Lonchura striata: one gene and its partner. The protein of the gene in region 2 interacts with the protein of the main gene of each other region in a pairwise test. Links are inferred from orthologs where the notes say so. Each region holds a gene or a part of one and is shown on either strand. Other genes may lie near its edges.

Region 1 (3,742 bases), on a different chromosome or scaffold from region 2:
AATTTTGCTGTAGTTTTCAGGGCGCTCTACCAGCGCCTGGTGGCAGAGTGACCTTCCCCGCACTCCGTGCGGCGAACAGGAACAGAGCTCCGGGGTCTCTCGGCTGCCGAAGCTCCCGGCCGAGCATCCCAAAGTTTGTTTCAGTCTCTCTCTCTCCAGAGCTCGGAGGAATCCTCCATGTTGCGCAGCGCGGGCCGGCTGGGCCGAGCAGCACCTCAGCCCGGGGCTCGCCTCTCGCGGCTCCGCGCTCGATGCGGTCCTGCCGCAGCCATCGCCCCGCGGAGCCGGGAGCGCAGCCGGGCCGAGCGCGGGGAGCGCCCCGGTCCCGGTCCCTGCCCCTGGCCGGCAGCATCCTTCGGGGGGGTGGGGGGCGTGAATTATTTAGATTTTCTATTTCCTTCTTAGAGGGGGAGGAGGGAGAGAGAATGAACGAGCTATTAACCGCAGCCGAGCCCCGCTTCCCGAGGCTGTCTAACGTTTGTAAATACTTATGCTGCGGCTGGTCCCCTCCTCCCCGGTTAAGTTGTTTAGTATGTTGGTTATTTGTACCGAATCCCGGTCTGTGTAGTGTCTGATGTGTTGTCGTTGCAATGTGCAGCCAGGGTGACACTGATGGATGCGCCAATGGTGAGACGGACAGATGTTAGGGCGGATCTAGCGGCACGCACCGCCGCGGCGGCGAGCCCGCCCGCCCGCCCCGCCGGGGCTGCCCGCCGCCCGGCCCCGTCCTGCCGCACGGCTCACCCACGCTCGCACACTCACACACACAGGGCTTTTTGGGGAGGGGGGGCAACGTCTCGGTGTCGTCTCTTAAGCAGATCTGATCGCTCCTTCTGTGAGCAGATACTGTAACTGTGAGGAGCAACCAGCGAGTATCAATGAGATGGAACTGAGCGAGTTTGGCAGCAGAAGCGGCAATTGACAACTCACCATTTTCTTGTTTTCAAGAAATGTTTCGTTTTCCCCCAACAGTAGCAATTTCCCGGGGACTTTAGGCGACTGCGATTTTTTTTCATCCTAAAGATCAGCTTAAAAAAAAATCAACTCATAACAATAATAATCCAAAAAAAAAAAAAAAAATCCCAAACCTTCTCCACCCGTCATGTAAAGTGTTTGAATTTCCTGCAACTTGAAAGGGAAGCGAGAGCCCGAGAGCGGCACGGCGGCTTTATAGGATGTGAAGACGCAACAACATCTGCACTTAGTCAGGTATTTGGAATTATCCCAAATCTCGAAGAATGGGGGCGAGTGGAAATTTTTTTTGATCTTACCGTAAAAGTGAGCTCAGCCTTTTTTTTTTTTTTTTTTTTTTAATTCCTCCCCGTGAACTTTAAAAAAAAAAAAAGCTACTGTTCTTTCTTTCTTTCTTTCATTTTCTCTCTCTCTTTTTTTTTTTTTTTTTGTTGGCGGTTGCTCCCGTGTCTCCCTTGCCTGCTGGCGGTCCCGGCGCGGGCGGAGCGGGGGCGGGAGCGGCCCGGGCCCCGCGCGCCCCCCGCCGCCCCGGCCCTCCCCGCGCCGCGCGGCCCCGCCGCCCAGGGATGCGCAATCAAACCCGCAGCACATCGATCCGCCGGCGCTCGCCGAACTGAGCGCGGCGGCTCGGCAGTGAACTTGGACCGAGAAAAAAAATTAAAAAAAAAAAAAATCCAAAACTGAGAGAGAGAGAGAGAGAGAGAGAGGAAAAAAAAAAAAAAATCCACCGCCAAAACAGGGAAAACGAGGCAAAAGTGCTCCTTCCCGAAGAGCCGGGTGCGTGGGGCGCGGGCGCTGCCCGCTCCCCGCCGCTCTGGCCCCGCGGGGCGGGAGCAGCGGCTCCGCTGGCGGGGGCGCCGCCGATAGCGGCCGCCGGCCGGGGCGGCCCCGACACCGCCCGCCCGCAGGCGCGGAGCGGAGCGCGGCGGCCGCGGCGCCAGCCAGGTGGGAGCCGGCGGGCTGGATGTGCCGGCGGGCGGGCGGCGCGCCGGTGAGTGCGGCCGGGGCGGGCAGCGCTGCGGGGCGCGGCGGGGAGCCGGGGCCGCTGCCGCCGCTGTCACCGCGCGGGGCGGCCGGGATGGAGCGGCGGGCCGGGCCCTCCTCGCCGGGGGGGCGGGGAAGGGGGGATCCCGTGCCCCGGCGCGGCGGGAGGCGATGGCTGCGGGGGGCTCCGGCGGGGAACGGGTGCGCGCGGGGGCGGAAAGGGAAGGGCTGCGGCGGGGAGCGGGGCAGCGGCGCGGAGCCCGGCGGGCTGCCCTGCCTGTCCCTGCCCGGCCAGCCCTCCGCCGCCGCCGCGGGCGGCTCGGGAGACCGGCGCCAGCGGCGGGCGAAGTTGGGTGGTGGAGGGGGCGCGGCGAGGGGGTCTCCCCGGCCGGCGGGGCAGACCCCTGCCCGCCCCCGTGCTCGGTCCGGCGGGCGATGCGCGCTGAGTGAAGGCGCGGCCCGGGGCGGGCGGCGGCGGCGGTGCCCCGCTCCCCCTCGGCGGAGCAGTTTGAGTGACACCGCGATCATCTCGTTTCCCTTCAAGCTTCGCCTGTTGCCGCCGCCGCCGCCGCCGCCGCTCCAGCGCCGAGCCGGGAGTGGAGAGCGCAGGCTGAGGCTCCGCCGGCTCCGGCAAAGAGATTCCCTGTCTTTATGCCGTGATCTCCCAGCCCGGCCAGGCACCGGGGGCGCAGGGCGGGGTGGGGGGGACTGCGGGCTCTCCCCAGCCCTCCCGCCCGCACACCTCTTCGGGGGGCTTCCCCTCCTCCTTCCTCCGGGGCGATTTGTCAAACTTCCCCCCTCTTCTGCCAGCAGCAGCAGCAGCAGCAGCAGGGCTGTCCTCTCCTCTGTGCCGCCTCCTCCTCCTCCGCCGCCGCCGCCTCCTCCTCCTACTCGGCATCGTGTATGCACAGCAACAAAAAATATATCCCCGACCCAGCCCTCGCGCCGAGGCTGGAGCAGCTCACCGGATCTCTGGGGCTGAGGCAACTCTTCCCACCCCCGCGCCCCGGCTGCCCCCCCCCGCCGGCGCCCGCAGCAGCCCAGCATGCCGAGGAGGAAGCAGCAAGCGCCCCGGCGCGCAGCAGGTACGAGAGCCGCTTCCCTTCCTTCCCTGCCTTCCCTTCCCTTCCCTTTCCTCCGCGGCCGCTGCCTTCTCCTCTCGCCTCCCTCGGTCTCTTTCATAACCGGCTCCCGGCGGGCTCCGCCGCCGCTCCGCGCCCCGCTCCTGCCCCGCTGCCCGCCGCTGCCGGGGCTCTGCCGAGCAGCTCCCGGGCTGGAGGCGCAGCGCCGGGGCTGGGGGTGTGGGGGGGATTTTGTTTATTTTTTTCTTTGGGGTGGGGGGCGCATGAAAGCCCGTTCCCCACTTTTGGTGCCCACTTTGATTTATTCCGAACTCAGCCCGGCTCGGTTCTGGGGGTAACCCTGTGCGAGGGGCAGGCGGGTGTGTGCGGGCACGCACTGCCCGGGCCGGGCTCGTATGGTCGGTGTCACTCCGGGGCTGGGGGAAGCAGGAGGCGAATTTTGGCTATTTTCAGCCCGTACTTTGGCACCTACTTTGCTTGTTTCTCTCGTAGTCTTCATTCTTCTACATCCCCTTCCCTCACACGTGAAACCCAGGGAAAATATTATTTTTATTTAAGTCTTCTTTCCTATAAAAAAAAGAGAGAGAGGATATGTACAAAAATATGGCACGCTGTGAATGAAGTGGCAGGGACAAAGTGATTTGGAGGCTCTGCAGTGTTAGTTGAAGATCCAAGCCCAGAAGTGGTTCCTTTGCCCAACTTTT
Region 2 (3,742 bases):
CACCACCTGCCCACATTCTTGTGATAAGCAGATGAAGAACGTCTGTCCGAACGCTAATTCCCAAATCTACGGGGGTAACACGGAGCACAAACACAGACGCGCCGAGCGCGCTCTCGTTCTCTCGCAGCCGGCCGAACGCCCGGCCGCGATCACCCGCGCTCACACCGACCGGGGGACGCGGCAGCCCCTCGGCCTGCGGGATGTCAAACCCCCGCTGCCCTTCATCCGCCGGCCTGCCGCGCCGCTCCGGCCGCGCCGCGGGGCCGGGCCGGGCCGGGCGCGCCGGGGGCCGGCGGCGGTGCCGGCGCTGCCGCGGGGCCGGGCCGGGCCGCTGAGCGCGGGTGGCCGAACAAAGGCGGCGGCGGCCGCTGCTGCTGCCGCCCTCCCCGCCCCTCCGCCCAGCGCAACAGGCGCCGCGCCCCGCGGAGCCCCTTCCCCGCCCCCGGAGCCCCGCCGAGCCCCTGCCCTGCCCCGCACGGTCCCGCTGCCGCTCCCCACCCCCGGCGCCTCCCCCGCCCCTTCCTCGCTGCGTCTGTTTGTACTTTGGCTGATCCACTAATCCCCCGAGAGAGCCTATTTGTAGTGAAGAGTATCTATAGGGGGCGAGGCTGGTCCATGTGGGTTTGTGTCATTGGTTTGTAAGGAGAGACCCCGCCTATTGCCAAAAAAAAAAAAAAAAAAAAAAAAAAAAAAAAAAAAAAAAGAGAGAGAAAAAGAAGAAGGGAGCGAAAAAAAAAAAAAAAACAAAAAAAAAACGAGGCAGTGAGAGGAGAGCCTCTACCTCTCCTCGCTCTCCGTTCACCCAGCGTGGCGAGGGGGAGCGGCTGCTCCGCCCAACGCCGCCCGGGCACTTTCTGGCTTAAAAAAAACCCCACAAAACACAAAAAAAAAACCAACCAAAAAAAAAAAAAAAAACCCAAACAAAAAAGGGGAAAAAAAAGCAGGAAAAAAAAGAGGAAGAAGGAAGGGGGGGGGGGAAGAGCGGCCCTCCCCCCCAAGTTGCAATTAGCATCCTCTCCACTGCTGCTGCGGGGCTCCGGTGCCCCCGTCCGCTCCCGGCGCGGCGGCGGGCGGAGCAGGAGAGCGGGGAAAAGGGGGGGTGGGGGGGAAGGATTAAGTTTTTTTTTTTTTTTTTTGTGCGGTGTGCGAGCGGGTGGCGTTTTTAAGGTGGATCTCCGGCAAGCAGAGCCCGGCGGTGGATGCGGGAAGGGATGCGGCGGTGAAGAGCGGCGCGGGGCTGGCGGCGGCCGGGAGCAGGTAAGGGAGCGGCGGCGGCTGCGCTTCCCGGCGAGAAGGACAAGGGAAAAGCGAGGACATCTTTGCTTTAGTCAACCTCACCGGCGAGGGGGACAGAGGAGAAGGAAAAAAAAAAAAAAAAAAACCGAGGAGGGGAGGGTAGGTGGAAATGTGATGGTGGAGGGAGGCGGCCGCGCAAGTTACGCGGGTGGGCGCGGAGCGGCGGGTGAAGTGGGAAATCTTTTGTTGTGCCGGGCCCCGCATTGTTTACTTAGTGCCGAGAGCCGCCGACAACATCTGCCGGGGGATTAACGGGGCGGCGGCGGCAGGAAAGTTTGGGCAAGGGGGGAACCCCGCGGTGCGGCGCGGCCGATGCTCCGGGGGACGCGGAGCAGCCGCCGTCTTGCGCTGCGCTTATAATTTATTTTTTTTTCTGGGGGGGGGGTGGAATAGTGTATTTAGTTATTGCCTTTTTTCTTTTTTAATCGTAATTTTAGGTAGATTACGGGGGGGGAATGGTTTCGGGTTTTTTTTAAATTTTAATTTTTTTAAAAATTATTTTATTACTGCTGAATAACCGCGCTCGCCGCTCAGTCACTTAGCAACTCTCCACGCTCCCAAGCCGCGGAGGTGCGCGGTGTCCGCGGGGCCGCGCCTCGCTCCTTCCCTCCCACCTCGTACCCCTCCGCCAGAACTCAGAATAATTTCCCCACTATTTATTCATTACGTGTATTCCCCCCCACCCCCCGATTTGACCATTTTAAACCCTACCCTGATATCACCAGAATGGAAAATCAGAGGGGGTGCGTGGATTTAGGCGCTGAGATTGTTCTTTTCACACCACTCCGCCCCACGATTAAAAAAAAACCCAACATTTCCCCCCCAAACTTGCAGGACTTGCTGAGGGGGAAAGAATAGCCTTTTGTCCTGCCGAGGGACGTGCCCCCAAGGTAAATCCTGGCTGGAGCTCAGCGCCTGGTACTTTGCCGGGTCCCAGGGCTCTGGCTGTGCTGGGGAGGAGGAAAGTAGGAGATGGAGATCTCAAAGTAGTAGAAGTAATTTCTTCTTTCAGCTGCACTCCTGCGCTGCCTTTGAATTGCCTGCAATGAATGTACGTAGCTCTAATTGAAGTACTTTAATCATTCACACTTGATTAAGTATACCGTGACCAGAGGAGAGGAATCCACGCGGCGCCCGGGAACGGGAGGGATGGGATGACATTTTAATCCTGTGTTTTAGAAAACATGAGTGGGGCAGGAAAAGAAGCGGTGACGGTTCTGTGTAACGGTCCCTTGTTTCCATACAGATGGTGCCTTTCCTTCGGGATGAAATCGCAGTTATTGCCGGTATTTGGGGAGGGGGGAGGAAGAAAAGGCACGTACTTCTAGGTTTGTTTAAGCAGAGTGAGGAAAATAATGATAGACGAGATGCCTGGTGACAAAATGCTTTTGTTCCTGTTTCCATCAGTGCGTAAGGGCGCCGACCTGCTTTAGCATTCTTTAAAGGTCTGTCTTTACCAAGGAAAATTGAAGATGGTCTCATTATAGGAGAGTGTGTTTGGAATACTATGAGGTATTTATGAATTCAGAGGTGATTGTTGGATCTCAGACATTTCAATTACGCATCCTCTAGTAAAAAAAAAAAAAAAAAATTATTTGTAGCGATGTGTTCTGTAATCTGTTACTTCCATAAAGCTGATTTGTGCTCGAGCTCCGTAGCTGGCTGAGGGAATGGGTCCGTCCACGGGGCTCGAATCTTAAACAAGGATTTCTGTTCTTTGCCTCACAAAACTTTCTGCTGCAGGGGCAGCCTGAAGTTCCCATAAAAGCGATTCTTTGGGAAACGTCAGCTATCGTCAGTATTTTCTGGAAAATCTGGCGTTGTGAATGCAGGGTGGTATTTTTAGAAAGGAGCTTTTTATTTTTGGAGGCGTTTGTGAAACCCACCTGTTAGCCATTAGGGGGGACAGAGGTTGGCTTTCATCGTTAGCAAACCCTGCGCATCTGGGGGCTGAGGGCTGTTCCTCACTTGATCCAAGCTCTCTCCAGTCATGGGCAATCAAAATATCTTTCCTTTTCAAAGTTACAACCAAGTGTTTCTGAAGCTGAACAGAAAATAAGGTGGTTCAGTCAGAGTGGTGGCACTCTCCTGTGTTCAGGAATACGGATTGCAGGAGCGTTTCACTCTTCCTTTCTCTCCTAGAATTTCAGAGTGAGATGCTTCCCTGGTCCAGGGTTGTATGGCCAATTTTATAGTGTACAAATCATAGATGATGTTTTCTTGCTGTCAGCTTTCTATCTTTTTAAGGTAGTTTTCCAGCCCATGTGGATCTGGGGGTTTGGCTGGCAGGGTGGCTCCAGAGCTCGATGCCCCCTGGAGCTGGCAGCTCCCTCTCCTCCCTCCTCTCCTCCGAGGGCAAAGTTGTGCCCTTTTTCCACTCCTGCTTTTCCCAGATGGAAAGCACTCAAAGGAATTTCCCCACGGCAAGAACTGCAGCACAAACTGT

The links.
Region 1: the proteins of CTBP2 (region 2) and TSHZ3 interact in binary tests that used the Homo sapiens proteins (3 or more experiments, as listed by UniProt). The two-hybrid records come from large-scale screens. The link is inferred for Lonchura striata from reciprocal best matches to the Homo sapiens genes CTBP2 and TSHZ3.

What each region holds. Positions count from the first base shown.
Region 1 is NC_134615.1:8,374,947-8,378,688, forward strand, and holds the start of TSHZ3 (teashirt homolog 3), read left to right. Parts: upstream 1-1,069; 5' UTR 1,070-1,209; intron 1,210-2,602; exon of another isoform or gene 2,603-2,769; 5' UTR 2,770-3,001; coding exon 3,002-3,041; intron 3,042-3,742. UniProt on the Homo sapiens protein: Transcriptional regulator involved in developmental processes. Functions in association with APBB1, SET and HDAC factors as a transcriptional repressor, that inhibits the expression of CASP4.
Region 2 is NC_134609.1:29,530,903-29,534,644, reverse strand, and holds the start of CTBP2 (C-terminal-binding protein 2), read left to right. Parts: upstream 1-1,136; 5' UTR 1,137-1,257; intron 1,258-3,742. UniProt on the Homo sapiens protein: Corepressor targeting diverse transcription regulators. Functions in brown adipose tissue (BAT) differentiation. Isoform 2 probably acts as a scaffold for specialized synapses.